2 linked regions of the Drosophila melanogaster genome follow. The protein of the gene in region 1 interacts with the protein of each later gene in a pairwise test. Each region holds a gene or a part of one and is shown on either strand. Other genes may lie near its edges.

Evidence for each region. Proteins that work in one complex are often made in the same cells at the same time.
Region 2: the proteins of CG2059 (region 1) and CG17739 interact in a two-hybrid assay, tested with the Drosophila melanogaster proteins (one large-scale study listed by BioGRID).

Annotation. Positions count from the first base shown.
Region 1 is NC_004354.4:7,283,368-7,290,636, forward strand, and holds CG2059 (uncharacterized protein), read left to right. Parts: upstream 1-2,990; 5' UTR 2,991-3,049; intron 3,050-3,283; exon of another isoform or gene 3,284-3,398; 5' UTR 3,399-3,485; coding exon 3,486-3,731; intron 3,732-3,804; coding exon 3,805-3,978; intron 3,979-4,043; coding exon 4,044-4,273; intron 4,274-4,341; coding exon 4,342-4,479; intron 4,480-4,543; coding exon 4,544-4,682; 3' UTR 4,683-4,750; downstream 4,751-7,269. Other genes in the region: CG1677 (uncharacterized protein), read right to left, coding at 1-501, 574-1,347; unc-119, read right to left, coding at 5,779-5,897, 6,139-6,311, 6,378-6,883.
Region 2 is NT_033778.4:12,303,189-12,312,866, forward strand, and holds CG17739 (uncharacterized protein), read left to right. Parts: upstream 1-3,339; 5' UTR 3,340-3,365; intron 3,366-4,090; 5' UTR 4,091-4,099; coding exon 4,100-4,277; intron 4,278-4,370; coding exon 4,371-4,759; intron 4,760-4,812; coding exon 4,813-5,274; intron 5,275-5,330; coding exon 5,331-5,502; intron 5,503-5,566; coding exon 5,567-5,688; intron 5,689-5,752; coding exon 5,753-7,051; 3' UTR 7,052-7,224; downstream 7,225-9,678. Other genes in the region: salto, read right to left, coding at 1-148, 374-576, 635-869, 940-1,269, 1,334-1,713, 1,777-1,937, 2,032-2,283, 2,341-2,683 and 2 more; CG30203 (uncharacterized protein), read left to right, coding at 7,537-7,702, 7,758-8,149, 8,208-8,420, 8,475-8,732, 8,780-8,945, 9,001-9,678.

The DNA.
Region 1 (7,269 bases):
AGTGTAGAATCGACACACCGGCTTCGGTTCAGTCTCCTCCGGTCGCTTTTCATCCTCATCGGACACCTCGCCCTCCTCCAGCTCCCCCTCTTCCACTTTTTCCTGGCTGGATGAAGTCGACACCGACACTATATCTTTTTCCTCCTCGCCTTCCTCCAGGCAGCCATTGCCTGCGTCGTCCTTCCGGCTGTCATTGCCTGCGCCATCCTCCAAGCAGCCATTGCCAGCGCCATCCTTGCGTGTGTCTTTGTCATCGCCGTCTTTATCATCGCCGTCTTTATCCACCTCGCCGTCGTCATCGCCCTCGTCTTGCGACACCTTGGTCGTACTCTTGGTCTGGTTTGTTTCGTTGGCTGTGCTCTCCATCGGTGAAGGCTCCTTTGCCTGCTCCGGACACTCGCCCTCTTCCGCCTCGAAGTCCAAGGCGTCGTCGTCATGAGTTTTGACCAAGTCCTCCTGCAAAGCGGTCGCTGGTGCAAGTCCATTGGACGCGTCGTCGGTCTGAAATACATTTGAGTTATTAATGATTCAAGCTATTTAGATTAGAAACTACAATTCGAAACTAGAGCTCACATGGGTTTCTTTTGCGAAAGGCTCCTTCTCATCCCCGCTTGACGCTTTGCCGTTAGGCGTGGACTGCTTTTGCTCAACCTCATCCTCTTCGCCGAGAGTGGGCAGTGAATCATTGGAAATGGCGCCATCCTCGTTCTCATCCGCCGGACGCATTGAATTTTTGGATGAGGTTCGCTTCTCCTCACCCTCGATGTCGCTGACATCGCTAAGGTCGTCGTGACTGATATTCAGATCCACGGCAGCCTGATTGTACAGCTGGGGACTGACGCTTCGACTGCGAACGGATGAGAGGAACGAGCTAGGCTGTGACTTAGCGTTTGGCGAACCAGGTTGATCCGCATTAACAGGCGTTCCAGCAGCAGACTCGGACTCTCGCTCATTTATCGGCGAATGCTGCTGCTGCTCCCGTTGCTGCTCGGAAAGACGCTGCACCTCCTGTTCCGGTTCCTGATCGCCCTCATCCTCGCTAGAGGAGCCGCTGGAAGAGCTACTGCCACTGCCACTGCCACTTCCGCTGCTGCTGCTCGAGCTCTTCTTCTGCTTCTTGGACAGGTCACTGCGATTCGAACTGGAACTGGAGTTGGACGATGAGCTACTGGTGGAGGGGGCTCGATCGGACCGATCCAGTATGGGGTCGCCACCTCCGCCAGGCGATTCGCCACCATGATCCGCGACAACTTCATCCTTGTCGTTGGTGGGCGAATTCGACCGTGACTCCGAGGAATTGGACGCCGAACTGGCATGAGAATCGTCCGATTCCATGTCAAGGACCATGGGTTCGCCTTACGCCGGTGCGACCAACTAGTTCCTTGGCGTTTCTGCAGGAGATTCGAACAGATCGAGAATTAGTTTTTCTGGCATGGCTAAATATACTCAACGCTTTGGACAAGGCTCAGACGATTAAAAGCCACCACGTCCTGGTGGGAGGGGAATGTCACCGGGGCAAAACTAGCGAAGCAAGTCGATATTTTATTGGGGGCTTCTGGCGACGATTACCGGTTAATTGAGTGGACAAGTTTTGAATCGAAACAGCAAGTATACTAAGTCGGCAAGGAATAAAGACATTTGTCTGTCCAGTTTCGATTCATGTTGATTGTAACCACGTGGGTATTCTAATTGTCAATTACAAAAGAATCGATAAGAAAATCGATAGAACTAATATTATGTAATCGCAATAATCGAGGCGAGCATCGCACTGGGTCGATAACTAATAATTGTGAATAGGAGGAGGAGCAGATAGGGGATGGCCTTAATAGAAAGGGGATAGAAACGAAAGTCAAGGTCAAAAGCCCCCAAACAAATGCCGATAGCTCCGATAACGCGATAACAATCGATTTTGATATAGGATTTTTTTTATATTTGTGGGAATGACAGAATAAGTTTTTTTTTTTTTGCTTTTAACTTTTAGTGGGGTTCTTACCTTCATTTCTTTTATAAGCTTTTATGTTTTTTAATTAATTGATTATATTGTGTGTGTGCCAGTATCTTTTTTTCTTTTTTTATTTCTCTTTATACTTTATTTTTGATTAATTTTCTTGACGCGAACGAGGGACAACAAAGAGCGAGGGAGAGCGAGATTGTAAGCGCAGTGCAATTTGAAAAATTCTTTCTATTCTGGCGCTCTCTTTCCCTCTCACACACACAGTTAAGGACACGCACACACACACAGGCGCACACACAGAGGAGAGTTAAGTATTTGCATTTTTGCGGACTTTTTCGCACTTTTCGCGACCGAAATTGAATTTTCTTAACAACTTTAACCACTTTTATTCACTTACTGACTTTTACTTGAACGTTTAACTGGTTTTTTGTGTTACTTTTGCAACTTAACTTTTTTACATTCTCTAGTTCAGTTTTCATTTCATTTTTTTTTTTTTTTTTTTTTTTTTGGAGGGGAAAAATAGAATACTTGAAAATATATCAATTTGTTGCTCTGATTTTGACAATATGCTTGATTTCTTGTTGCTGCTTACCTATGTTTGAGTAGTGTGAATGCGAGCAAGAGCGCCGCTGCGCTGCCTCTACCGCTGCCGACGTCAGCGCCGCGCTTTCCTCCTTCAATCTTTTTACCGCTAAAGACGAACTGGAAAGCCCGTTTTTCCGGCGGCTCGGCGGCGACTGGTTTACCTGGTAGCGTTGGAAATTCGATGTTTTTGTGCTACAGCAAATGCTCTGGATGCCTTTTTTTGTGTTAATGAAAAAACTGTTTCCGACAGAAAACGTTTGCCTAAAGAATATGGCAGCTGCCAGTGTGACTGTGCATGGCGTGCCCGGAAATACGGCGAAAAGCGTGCGTGCCTAGTCGGTGATGTTATCTTAGCTTATGTGGCTGACGCACAGACATGACTAAGTAAATATCCAAAATGGTTCATGCCATGGCTAGCATCGAGATATTTGCGCGCCAGTGTTGCCACTTTGTCAACAGAGCCATCGTTTGGAAGGGGTCGTAAGGGGTTAAGAGCCCCATTAATATTTGGTAAATACTTGCACATATTTTATGTGCTTATTTATGATAAAATGGCTTAGGTGTATGCAAAAAATTACAGAGTATGATAACGGTTAATTGTCAAAGATAAATTTATAAGAAAAACGTGTTTCTAATCTATTTATAACCAAACCATTTTCAACGACTACAAAAAATATTGTATATTTATATTCATGACTTAAAATTTGTATAATTAGTTTTTTCATCTACGCCCTTGACAATTGCCAAACTACATGTTGTCGAAAAATAAAACACCGGTCAGCTGGACTCCGTACACAATTGGCAAAATGTTGAAATTTATCGAAATTGCTGCAAATTAACAATAATTACGCAACTTTAGCAAAGCAACGAACCCCCCTCGGCGGCAACATACCACTGCCCAATTAGTTTTCCCGCCGGTGGCGTGTGTACACACTGGGGCCACCAAATGCAGCGCCTGACGAAATCGTTACGTTCACTTCCATTTCCCGCGGGAAAGATCCTGCGAACCCAATTGGTGGTCAGAAGGGAGTACTCCTCGGAAATACCGGATCCCGTTGAACTAAGCTTCGATTCGTACACCGGCGAGAATCCAGAGACGAGTCCACCACTGCTCACATATCATGGACTCTTTGGTTCCAAGCAAAATTGGCGAGGAATTAGCAAGGCTCTGGTGCGAAAAGTTTCCCGAAAGGTGAGCTTACCAATTTATGCGTTTAGCCAAAGTATCAATGCTCAAGCCAATGTGTATTTATTTTAACCTACAGGTGTACGCCATCGATGTGAGGAATCATGGCGAGAGTCCACATTCGAGTGTCCACAATTCCAAAGCGATGAGCGAGGATTTGCGTTTGTTTATGGAGCAGCGCAGTCATCCGAATGCCGCCTGCATGGGTCACAGCATGGGCGGCAGGTCCATGATGTACTTCGCTCGAAAATATGTAAGTGTTGCGCCTTATGCACAAACTGAGTTAAATGTTAAACAATCATTTTTCCATTATCATAGCCCGAGTTGGTGGAACGTTTGATAGTGGTGGACATATCGCCAATTAGCGTGCCCCGTTCCACGGGCGAGATGACGGAAATTTTCGACGCGATGGTCTCCCTGGACCTTTCGCCAAGCATGTCCATGTCTGAGGGCAGGAAAATTGCACGGGAAAAACTACTGAAAGCCACCGAAGACGAGACCGTTGACTTTATCATGCTGAATCTCCGAAAAAATCCTGACACCGGCGCGTAAGTTTGCCACATATGTATTTGGCCTTTTTTGGGAACCGCTTTAAAATGAGATAATCTTCCTATAGTTTCTCTTGGGCCTGCAATGCCCATGTTCTTCGTGAATTCCTCACCCGCTTCGACAAATATCAGAGTAATTTGGAGGAACTGCCGCCGTACACGGGACCCACTACGTTCATTTGCGGCACGCGATCACCTTACATGAGGTAACTTGGATCCCGAGGTGCTAAGTAAACTAAACTAATTGAATCTTTTTGCCATCTTTATTAGACGCGAGCAATGGCCACAGATACAGAAAATGTTTCCCAATTCTGAGATCCACTGGCTGGATGCCGGACATTTAGTGCACTTTGAAAAGCCGCAGGAGTTTCTAACAATAGTCAGCGAGTTCCTGAATAGAACTGAGTAGACCAAATTTTGATATTTTAACCAAATGTACAAAGAAGTCAATCGCGTAGATCGACTTTAGCTAAATTGGAAAGTGAACGCTTTGTTTTTCTTGGGAACGGGAATTCAAATTAATTTCACTTCAGAACTCGAGAAGACATTCTTCAACGATCTACGCAGATCTTCAAGAATCTTCACCGAAAAGAGCGGGATAGCAATATATATATTTTTTTTTTTGATATAAGCGTTCTGAACTTGATGATTTTTCAGAATATAATAAATTTCTTAAGCACCTTTAGTGCACGAAATGCCCTCGATTTAACCCCCTTAGAAAAGTTTCAATTTATAGTGGTGTATGTACATTTAAAATGTAATTTAATTTATCATTCTTGTTCGGCGTGTAATCGTTAGTGTTTTTTTTTTTTTGGATTTCCAGTTACGTTCGTCTTTTTCCATTTGGTTTTTGTTTAAAAAATATACATACACAGACACGAAAAAAATGCCATGAAGAAGCTGATAGATTTCGTATGATTTCGTATGCTGCATACAAAAATTGACGGCAAATGGATTTTCCTCAATTTTTTTTTTTTGAAAATTTCCAATTCGCTTCTCATAAGTTCTGTGTGTGCGTGTGTGTATACGTACGTATTTTATATATATGTATTTGTTGTTTCTTGTTGGGTGTGTGTGTGGAGTGTCCTTACTTATTAGGATTAAATAAGTGTGTACAAATACATATATAAATCAAGGGAAATCACATAGCACTTAAAATTATATAGTCAAAGTGGAAATCATTGATAAATGAACACAATCCGCGTGCTTCAGTGTGTTGTTGTTGTGTTTGTGTGTTAGTTTCCGTTTGCAGGAGATCATATCTTGATGCTAAATACATCAAACAGGAATGGTGGGTAAAACTTTGGTGTGCTAAGGCTAAAATGGCTGTGATAATATTCCTCGATTCGATTCGATGTGTTTGTGAGTGTGATTGTTGACATTGAGTGGGTGTTTCGTGTGTGTGTGTGTGTGACAAGTCATTGATTTTGTCTCACAGCTTCTGTAGTTTCTAGTTCTTTAGTTATTAGTTTTGCTCTAGTTGCAGTTCCATTATAGTTGAGTTTCTAGACTATATTGCCGCCATCGTAGGCGTAGTCGGCTTTGTTGTGCATGACGAGTCGGTTTCCCACAAAGTAAAAGCTGTCCGAGCGCGTCTCAAAGGGGCTCGATATCATCTCAGCAACTAAAAAAAAATGGAAAACGAACGAACATATTTATGTGAATTGCATTTCATTAATAAGTCCACATCCTACAAACCGATAACAAAAAATAAAAACCATGATAGCTGCTCGCAATCTGACCAATAGAAGCCTCATCTCACAGGCGCAAATCGTAAACGACCTTGACCCACAAACCCCTTCAACTTTTGGCAGCAACTTTCAATTGCGTGTCATGCTGGCTGGGATTATGTAAAAATTGCTCACCTAGGTCGGGTGGAAGGTTAGGAAACTCGTAGATGTGCTCAACCGTATTCTTCGAAAATGGAAAGCAAAAGCCGAACTCAAAGTCAAACGTCTTTAGCAGGCGATCGCGGAAGAAGTGGCGTTCGATCATACGAAAATTATTAAGCGGCTGGCTGCCCACAGTGAATTCCACACTGCAAATAAGGGAAACTTACAAATTGAGAGGCATTTAAAACAAATGCAAATACTGTATAACCTACGTGGCTCCCACTGTTTTGAGGTTGAGAAATGCCGGTGTGAACTGATAGCGCACATAGCGTCCGGCATTTGGATCGGCAGTGTCATCCAGTGACAATTTCTCGGCAGCCGCCAGCATGGTTTCATCCGAGGACAGTCCTTCCGGATATTGTTCACTCGGCGGTTTGGCGATCTCGAAGAGCACAGCGCCGCTCTCCAGGTCGCGAATCTTGAACCGCGTGAAATCAATCTCGAACACATTTGCATTGGCGGAGCAGAGATAGTCGTCCGTGATCTTGGTCAGATGGAGCACCTCGTCGGGAGTCACGCTGGAAGACTCCGCAGGCCGTTTGGCATCACCGGAGGCACCAGCGCCCGCTGCTGCAGCTCCCGACGATCCTCCACTGCCGCCGTTGGCCTCCACTCCACTGTTCGAAGAAGAGGATCCTGCGGCCGCGGAGGAAGACGTTGTCACTGCGCCTGCACCGGAGGATTGCACCGGATTTAGTTGCTTACCCACCACGCTCATTGTGCACGGAATGAATCTGGTGGTATTATTTGTCTATAGTCTGCGTTTCGGATTTCTCAAGCTGAACAGCTTTTTTAAGGCTCCTGGCTGGATGGCTGCTGCAGTGGTATCCTTTGATTTGAAGAAGCTACTCCGCTGTCTCACTCTGCGAATAGAAAGGAATAGGCATTGGTTATTAGGGAGTAAATAATAAAATATAGCACAAATACTTTTGAATTTCTATTACTTCAAACTAAACTGAATAATGAAATATCACATTTTTTTTTTAACATAGCAAAAAAAAAAAAAAGAAGTCATAGTTGTTAAGTTACTCACCAACACAAACACACACAAGTGTAGAGTTGTCATAAATTGTGCCAGGATTTTCTGGTGGAAATATAAGGCTT
Region 2 (9,678 bases), on another chromosome or scaffold:
TTGCAGATTGGGCTCTTGCAGAAACTTGCAGGAAGAGTCCACACGCACAGGGTGGCCACCGCTTCTAATGCTCTCCATTTCGCCAGCCGGCAGAACTTCAAAAAAATGTTCACCCATATTGCCAACTATTAGTTTGGCATAATTACGGCTAGAACCATTTAATACTTTTATTTGTCTTTCCAAGCATAAAGCTCGCCGCTTTGCTATCACTTACTCAAATATTTTGGAAACTGGTCCAGTTGATATTAGGACTTCAATTGACATTTACCTCATTCAACGGTACATGGCCCTAATGTTATTGAATATCTACCACGGGATTTGTGTAAATTATAGCAAGCTGGCGAACTTTTACTCAAACTCGTATTGAACTTACAGGGCGTTTTTGAGATGTTTGATTTCCTCCTCCATCGTGGCATTCCGCTCGTCCTGATTGGCTCGCAACAATGATACCCGCGAATTCTGCTCCTTTAACAACTTGATGATATGCTCCTGCCTCCTCACTTCCCTTTGTTTGTGCGTGAGGGTCCCGTAGAGATTATAGAACTCCTCCTCCTTCGAACTCAGCTTGTTGTTTACCTGCGGGAGGAAGAAGGATAAGCATAAGCGAGGCTAGCCACATCCTTTTTCGGCGGACCTGATTGATAAGCGTTTCTTTCTCGCTAACTTGATAGTACATTTGGTCTAGTTTGGTGCGGCTATCCTCCTCATTCTTCTGCAGTGTTGCGATCAATTCGCTGCGAGCGTTCAGCAACTTCTGATCGATAACCATTTGCTCGCGCATCTTGGACACTTCCTTGCGCAGCTGCACTTCGAGCTTGGATTGCATCTCCAATTTGGCATTGGTAACACTTAGGGTCTCCCTTAGATCGCTGGTTATCCAAGCAAGAGATATGTTAATCAATATACATAATCTATGATACTGTTAACCAAGCAGTTTACCTTATCTGCTGTAGAGCTTCCTTATAGTTTCCACCCAGCTCTTCAAAGTCGGCATGCTGCTTTATTGTATTGGCCACCTGTTTGTTCATGACCTTCTTATGCTGCTCGAGACTTTGCAGCTGCAGTTTCAAATCGGCAATGATCAAATCCTTTTCTTTAACTCCCGCGTCCATGGCATCTGGACGCTGTTCCAGATGGACAATGAGCTCACGGGCCTCCTTCAGTTCGCCCTCCAGGTAATCGATGTGTTTCAAGTTCTTATCGACGGAATTTCGAGCCCGCTCCAGACCTTTGTCCGCCTCTTCCAGACGCTTAACCATTTGCTCTTTTCTAGATACGATATAAGGAAAGATCTGTAAGAACCATCATCTGCCGAGATGACCAGTTAACTTACACAGTCTTGAGCTTGGCTACCTCGGAGCGCAGTACCTCGATGGTGGAATCCTCGGTCAATAGCTTGGAATTGTTCTCGGCCAATCGAATGGACTGCTCACTGAGCATATCCTCGCTTCGCCGCAGGCTCTTTCTCAGCTCTACAATGATCTGATCTCGACTGGCCAGCTCCTGTTTCAGCTTGGCATCGAGCTCGATCCGCAACTGGTTCATCTGTTCAGTGTGCTCCTTCTGGGCGTCAAAATAACGAACCTCCATGGCCTGTTTCTGGGAACGCAACTCGGACATCTCGCGATAGAGACTTTTGTTGGGTGACTCTTGTTTGGAGCATGCACCGCACAACTGTTCGATCTCCTCGACGATTAAATTCATTTTTTCTTCCTGGAGACACAATAAAATAGTTTCACATTGCTAGTGCATCATAGCGGTTGCACAAAAACATACCACTAGGTTAGACAACTTTTTTTGAGTTTCCTCACGCTTTTCACTAGCCTCGAGATCATTTTTAGCCCTCTGAATTCTTGGTATATGGTCGTAGATTAACAAAACCCCCTGATCTACAATCGCACGACACCTGGTTTTCAAGTCATTCATACTTTCGGCGGCTAGAAAATAAAAGTATGCAATTGTAAGCGAAAGAAGGATAATTCAAGGATAACAATTCATTCAATCGAAGACGTAAAATCAAAACGAACTTACGAATACTCTTGGGCAATCGAAGTAGATCATCATGGTGGACCACAAGCTTGCATTCATCGTTTACAGTCAGACCCACAAACTTGAAGACCCCTTGATTCCGGAGCTCCGAACCCATTAACCGGATCTTGTGCATAAACTCGGACTGCAGGTTCTCCAGTTTTTTTTTCTGCGTATCAAAGACCCGCATCCGGTTCATCTCCAGGACACGGCGATGCGACATCTTTTCAGGCTTCTTTACATTTTGATAAGGTTCTGTGGACGGCAATAATCAGAGAATTGGACCACGTTTCAAATATTCGCGATACCCACCGCATGTCGTTGACTTAACCAATTGTGCTGACTGGGCATGCGTCTTTATGGGAACCACGTTCCGCTTGGGGGGATTCAACTCATCGATATCAGTTTTCCGATCGGGCTCAACTACTTTATGCTCGGGCTCGACCCGTCGATTGGGCAACGAATACGTACTGACACACGGGCGCGCTTTCGTCGAAGAAGTAACCCGTTCCAGAGAAGTTTTTCGCGAATGGATAGACGACCGACTCGCTCCACGCCTATTTGGAATGTGACTGAGCCTACCTTTGTTTGGGCTTCCGTCGCCATTCTGGGTGGGAGGAGTAGAGAAGACGCCACCACAAGAAGAAGTGCGAGACTGGGACGGGGATGTAAAGCATTTGAAAAAACTAAACCCTTTTCTTCTATCTCACTCACCCATGTAGCTTTGTCTGAGGCTTGCTTTTCCGCCTTTCCAGCTGTCCTCAGCAAGAATGCTTTGTTACCTAACAAGGATAACGAGCATTTGAAGCACACATTCGTATAGCGTTCAAGGTACATGTACTTACTACGAACTGAACGCGGCGTCACGCTGGAAGAATTCATATCTAAAGTTTCGGAAATCAACGCTTTTTTGTAAACGATTTTTGTGTTCAAAATGAGGAAAAAATAGTATAGAAAATTTGTTTCTAAATATTTCCAGTTGAACTACGTCTAGTGTAAATGGTACAAAAATGCTTTCTGACCAATCCAAACGAGGTGGTTCGTGGAAGTAACATGAATTCAAACTCAGAGCACACTTGTTCAGTTCCAATGTACCCGGTGTTTTTGGGGTCTGTTTGTTTAGAATGAGCGTATGAAAACTAATGGTTTCTATCAACAAATGCGAATCTGCAAAAGAAGCGGAAACTAAGCTAAATGGGAGGGAAAAGTAGAGAGCAGTTTTTCCCTCTCTGAGGTTCTCCATGTAATCCATTCGTCGGTCCCGAATGATGCACATCGTCCATCCAATAATCGACTCGGCGAAATTTGCATTCAGTTGCTGTTCGTGCGTCCACCGAGTAAGTTCTTAGTTCGGATTTCCCTCTAAAAGCATATATTTCGAGATTGTTTCATTTACGATCCATCAATACTGAGTAACAAGAGTATGAAAAAACAATCTGTACCACCTTGCTATTAGTTTATTTTCTCAAAATAACTTAATCAACTGGATTAACATACATGATGTGCTAGTGAAAGTGGGTGCTACAATATAAGTGCAGTACTGAGGTGAAGAAGCCCTAAAAGTGACTTTAATGATTTAGATCCATGGGAAATGGACGTTTGTCACCCCCTTGTATTCGAATTCGCTGTAGACAGTCGGCGCGTTTTTCAATTGAATTTAATCAGTGACGTAGACGGTCTATATAGTACAGACTATATATTGTATATACGCAATGCGATCCGATTTTCAAGGGGTAAACAACCAACAACCCGCCTAGTTCAAGTTCCGCATGGCAATTGAGCTGGCATAATTTGGATCTCAAAGGAAATGGAAAGTGTCTGCGAAAATAGCAATATGCACTATGTGTGACATCACGCAAAGTCATTCAATTGAAGGCTATTTCTACGAATTCAAGTTCAGTTTGAAACTGGAAGTAGGCTCCATTGGTTGCCATTGACATTCGATACCAATGCGGATAATTAAGACAATTAAGTGCTGGCCAGAAATAGTTTTTTCCCCCACAACCACGTGGCTGCATCAAATGATTGTAAATTTGTATTCCCACTCAATTTTGCATTGCAGCTCTTTGAAATGAAAGCTCTGGAAGGTTTCACTATTCTTCTCGCATTAGTGGGTGTTATTCCCCGGATCGAGGGCTGCATTAGGGTCCCACCGGGAGTCACAGCAGCCAAGTCACCGGTGGATGATAACTATGTGCTGTCCGTAAACGGAAATACGCAGAGTTATGTGCCCGGTCAAAGGTATAATGGTGAGTGCATTAAATTAAGCATTAAATTAAATTAAATTTACAAATTTCTAGATTTTTCTTTCAATTCTCTAATCTTTCGCTGCTCGTTTTCAGTTAGCCTCAGTGCATTTTCTGGCTTGTCCTTCATTAGCTTTATGCTGGCCCTGGATTTGGAGAGTGGTGACGGCGATGGTGACGCCAATGCCCTGGGCACCTGGGAGATCGCCGATCTCGCCGAGACCCGTTTCAGTCCGCGCTGCCCAAATCTTGTCGAGAATACCAACACGAACGTGAAGACACGCGTGGATGTGTTCTGGGTGGCTCCATCGAGTCCGGGACAGGGCTGCATCCTGCTGAGGGCTACGGTGATGCAGCATCGAGATGTGTGGTTCATGGATGATGGCTTCCTTACCAAGCGTATGTGCGAGGAGGAGGTGGACGACATTGACACCCAGCCCAGCATCGTGGATCCGTGCTGTGCCTGTGACGAGGCCAAATATGAGGTGGGACTCTTTTAACTCATTATTGAAATGGTATTAACACCTCCTTACTTCAGCTTACCTTCGAAGGCAAGTGGTCGCGTCACACACATCCCAAGGACTTTCCAGCGAATAGCTGGCGCACCAGATTCAGCGATATCATTGGTGCCTCGCACACACTGGACTACAGATTCTGGCAGTATGGAGAGCTGGCCAGCGAGGGGCTGCGTGAGGTGGCGGAGCATGGCTCCACAAGGACCTTGGAGAGTGAGCTGAAGGATCAGAGCGAACACATTCGCACGATCATCAAGGCAAGGGGCATTGCCTATCCGAATGTTACGGGCAAAACATTTGCCGTTTTTCGCGTCGACTCCAACCACCATTTGATCTCCCTCGTATCAATGGTGGATCCCTCTCCAGACTGGATCGTTGGTGTATCCGGCCTCGAGCTATGTCTGCCCAACTGTTCCTGGGTGGAGAACAAGGTGCACAACCTATATCCCTGGGATGCGGGCACCGATAGTGGTCCATCATATATGGTAAGACGATTTCCATGATTTAGTCTTCAGTAGAGTCAATCACGAATACTTTTCAGTCCGCTGACCAGCCACAGGTGCCTCCAGATGTTGTGCGCCGCATCAAATCAAATTTCCCCAACGATCCCCGTTCGCCCTTTTATGATCCCACTGGTGCCCAGATGAAGCCATTGGCCACCCTGCACATCAATCGAAGACGACTCTACGAAAAGAACTGCGAGTCCTCCGATTGTAAGTTAAATGCAACCATATATTGATGTTGTGAATATACATACTATATACTTTAATCCTGTAGCGGAACAGGTACCGCCGGAGTGCGCCACAAACTCGTGGTCCAGATGGGATGAATGCACCACAAAGTGCGGTCCCGGCAAGCAATACAGAATCCGAGAGTTCAAGAACCCTGCATTGGCTTCGGTAATTAAGACGACATATATAATTTGGATCCCATACTATATATACATTTTGACACCTACCTTAGCGTCATCGTTGCAACAATGCCCTGCGTGAGGAGAAGAACTGCGTGGGACACAAGTGCGCTGGCTTCAATGAGGAGACAGCTGAAGGCGGCGAGCCGGAGGTGGCGCCATCACCAGGTAGCAGCGACGATCCCCAGTGCGGTCTGTCTGACTGGTCGGAGTGGTCTTCGTGCACCGTGACTTGTGGAACCGGCGAAATGACCCGATCCCGACACTATCTAAACAAGAAGGCCAAGAAGAAGTGCCAGAAGGCAAGCAGGGCGCGTCTGCATGAGACCAAGATTTGCGAGGCAATGGAATGCGGTGGGGACATCGAGAACGAAGGTGGTGCTGGGGAACCGGAGGAGGAACAGGCCGGTGGCGACGGAGGTGGATCCGCTGAGAAACGCTCCATATTCCGCAACTTCGAGAGTTACAGTCAGCATCGGGAGGATTACATACCACCGGTTTGCGGGGTCACTCCATGGTCGGATTTCTCGCCGTGCATGGGGCCATGCGGTGGACATGGAAAGCGGCAACGTATTCGCAAGGTGTGGAATAACAACCAGGTGTACGGAGTAACGGATCCCAATGATGACGGCCAGGATCCCTGTCGACACATCAAGCTGCACGAGGAGGTGAACTGCACCAATCCTAGCTGCGATACCATTGTTCCCGGCTTCTGCTACGACGAGCTGACCGACAGTCCGTGTCGGGATAACGATGTGGCCAACTTCTGGTACTACGACCATGTGAGTGACCAGTGTGCCATCTATTGGTCGGATCGTTGTGATACAAATCGCAACAAATTCAAGTCGAAGGAGGAGTGCGAGGAGACATGTCGCCTGCCGCGCCACAAACAGGAACTGCAGCACGATGGCATTCCAGCCATTGATTGTCTCGTCTCTGACTGGGTTTCCCACAGTTGCAACGCCTCCTGCGGCGATGGCTTCCAATTGCGAACGCGTCGGGTGCTCCGTACTCCGAAGTATGGAGGCAAGCCATGTCCCAAGCACCTGGTACGTTTGGATCGCTGCTACCAGCGGTGCGATGACATGTACTCAATCAGTGGACGGGGATTTGGAGAGCGAAGGCATGTGGTAAGAGCTCCGCAACCGGAACCGCAGGACGAGTGTCGCTACTCGGAGTGGTCCGCCTGGACACCATGCACCGCCACGTGTGGCGATAATGCCGTTCGCCAACGAACCCGAACCCTAATGAACACCGATCTGAGCTACAAGTGCAAGGATCGCGTCCGCATGGAAAAGTGCGTGATGATGCCTTGCCAGCTGACCAGCAACGATGATCCAGAGCGGTGGTGAACATACCATTAACTGCTACAAGTATTAGTTCTAATCCAACTATGTAATCATTACCAATGGATATCGTTAAATATATGAAAAATTCCAGACTACCTACACTAGCTCTTCTCGCAACAGATTAAATATGTATTAAAAACAATAAAACAGAATTGTGTTCGCGTGGTAATTCCAATTCCGATTGAGTTTAACCTTGACCCAGTTCCATTAAGCAAACAGTGGCCAGTTTACGAGTGATTTTTCGCCGGGTTGCAAGTTCAAAGAACCCGGGCACAATTCATCAATTGAAAAGCTTGCCATAAAAACAAACCATTCCTAATTGAAGACAACTCAATCAAGATGCCATAAGCTGTCAACGCCGAGAGCGCCATTTAAGGGATAATTGATAAATTGGAAATGCTCATCAATTAATGGAGATGGCTAGCCATCAGTTTTGGTCAGTCGCCGTTGAGCCTCGACCCAGTACGGATCGCTAAGATTGAGAAGAGATGCTTCGCCATATCGTGCTCCTCATTCTGCTGTCTTCCGAAGTCAGAGGAGTCTGCAATCGGATACCCCAAGGTGCCAGTGGCCCTCGATCGCCTGTGGATGATAACTTTAAGATCCTTATCGATGGCAATCCAGAGACCTATGTGCCAGAACATCAGTACAATGGTGAGAGTCTCGAGTTGTCCTGAAGCTTTTACTTCAACATTATTATCATCATAAGTTTCGTTATCCTGTCCAATAAACATGAAATTCGTGAGCTTCACCTTGGTGGTCGAGGCTGAGGATCCGTCGGCTGCCTTCGGTGGTCAGGATATGACCGGTCACTTTGAACTGCTGGGAGTCGGAGACACCCGATTCAGTACCAGTTGTGAGAACATGGTGGAGAACACAAATACGAATGCCAAGATCTATATCGCGGTATCCTGGATAGCACCACGTAATCCGGACAGCGGTTGTGTACTGATTAAGGCTGGTGTGGTTCAACATCGTGATGTGTGGTTTCTGGACGATGGCTTCCTGACCAAGCGGATTTGTCCCGAGGAAATCGACGAACTGAACAGCTTAACACCACCCTTGGAAACTTGCTGTGCCTGTGATGAAGCCAAATATGAGGTTGGAATATCTTCTCAACTCTTCCTAATATTGTGTTTAAAATAATCGTATCTAATAGATTGTTCTGGAGCGAAAGTGGGCAAGGAACACCCATTGGAAGGACTTTCCCTCTGAGGACTGGCGCACACGCTTGGGCGAGGTGATTGGTGCTTCACATAGCCACAGCTATCGCTACTGGGCCTACGGAGGAAGAGCGAGCAAGGGCATGAAGGAGTTGGCCGAGCACGGAGCTACACGTACCCTTGAGAATGAGATCAGGGAGAATACTCAGGTAGGTAATCAATTTTATCGCATTAAATCCACTTCATCATGGTGTTTCTAACAGAATGGCGAGGTGAGAACTATAATAAAGGCTCCTGGAATTCCCTATCGTCCGAAAACATTTGGCACAACCCTGGCCAATGCTCGTCTGGATCCAGTACACCATCAGATATCGCTAGCAGCCAAGATTGATCCTTCACCCGATTGGATACTGGGCGTGGCTGGATTGGAGCTTTGCTTGAGCAATTGTACGTGGCTGGAGCGAAAGGTCTTGAATTTGTATCCCTGGGACATCGGCACCGATTCGGGACCATCGTATATGGTAGGCGAAAAATAGCCCACTATGCATTATATTTATCTCCTTCAAAGTCCTCAGATGAGCCACAAGTGCCACCGGATGTGGTGCGCCGTATAACATCTTCGTATCCCAGCGACCATCGTTCGCCATTTTACGATGACACCGGTGCCCCAATGAAACCCTTGGCCACACTCTACTTGACCCGGAAGAAACTCTACATTAGGGAGTGCGAAGAGGGTAAGTGATCGTTATTGTAATCCCTGCACGTGCTGTTCATAATCTTTAGTATTAGTTCCCCAGGAAGGACCGCTGGAGTGCGCTGTACACCCTTGGAACGAGTGGACCAACTGCAGCACGCGATGTGGTCAGGGCTACTCTCATCGTCAGCGTAGCTTCAAGAATCCCAATCTAGCTGCCAACTTTAACTGCGATAGGCGCTTGGAGGAGTTCCGCCAATGCCAGGGAACCCAATGTGGGGCAGCGGAGGAGGAACTGGAAGGCGAGGAGCCTGGCCTGGGCATGGAAAATCCCCCAAGTAGTGGCTCAATGGCCGAGTGCCAGCTGACCAACTGGGGCGAGTGGTCACCGTGCACGAAGACATGCGGCAGAGGATCTTCCACACGTACCCGGGACTATTACAATCCGCAGGCCAGGCAGCGCTGTTTGTCCGTGATGCGAATACCGCTCGAGGAAACTCGGGAGTGCATTGGATCAGATTGTGGTGGCACCATTCCGGATAATGGCGAACTCGATGGCTTTCCGGAACCAGATGTGTTCGGAGAGACGGATCACGGCGGTTACATGGGCAAAACCACTTCTTGGAACAGTAAACAGGAGCATTCCAGTCTAGGTTCCGGCAACCAGGCGTGGAATAGAAAGCCCTACAATTCGTGGAAAGATAAATCTCTTTCCAACCCTAGAGATAACGCACAGGAGTCCCCAAACTTACCGTTCGATCAGATAGAAAATC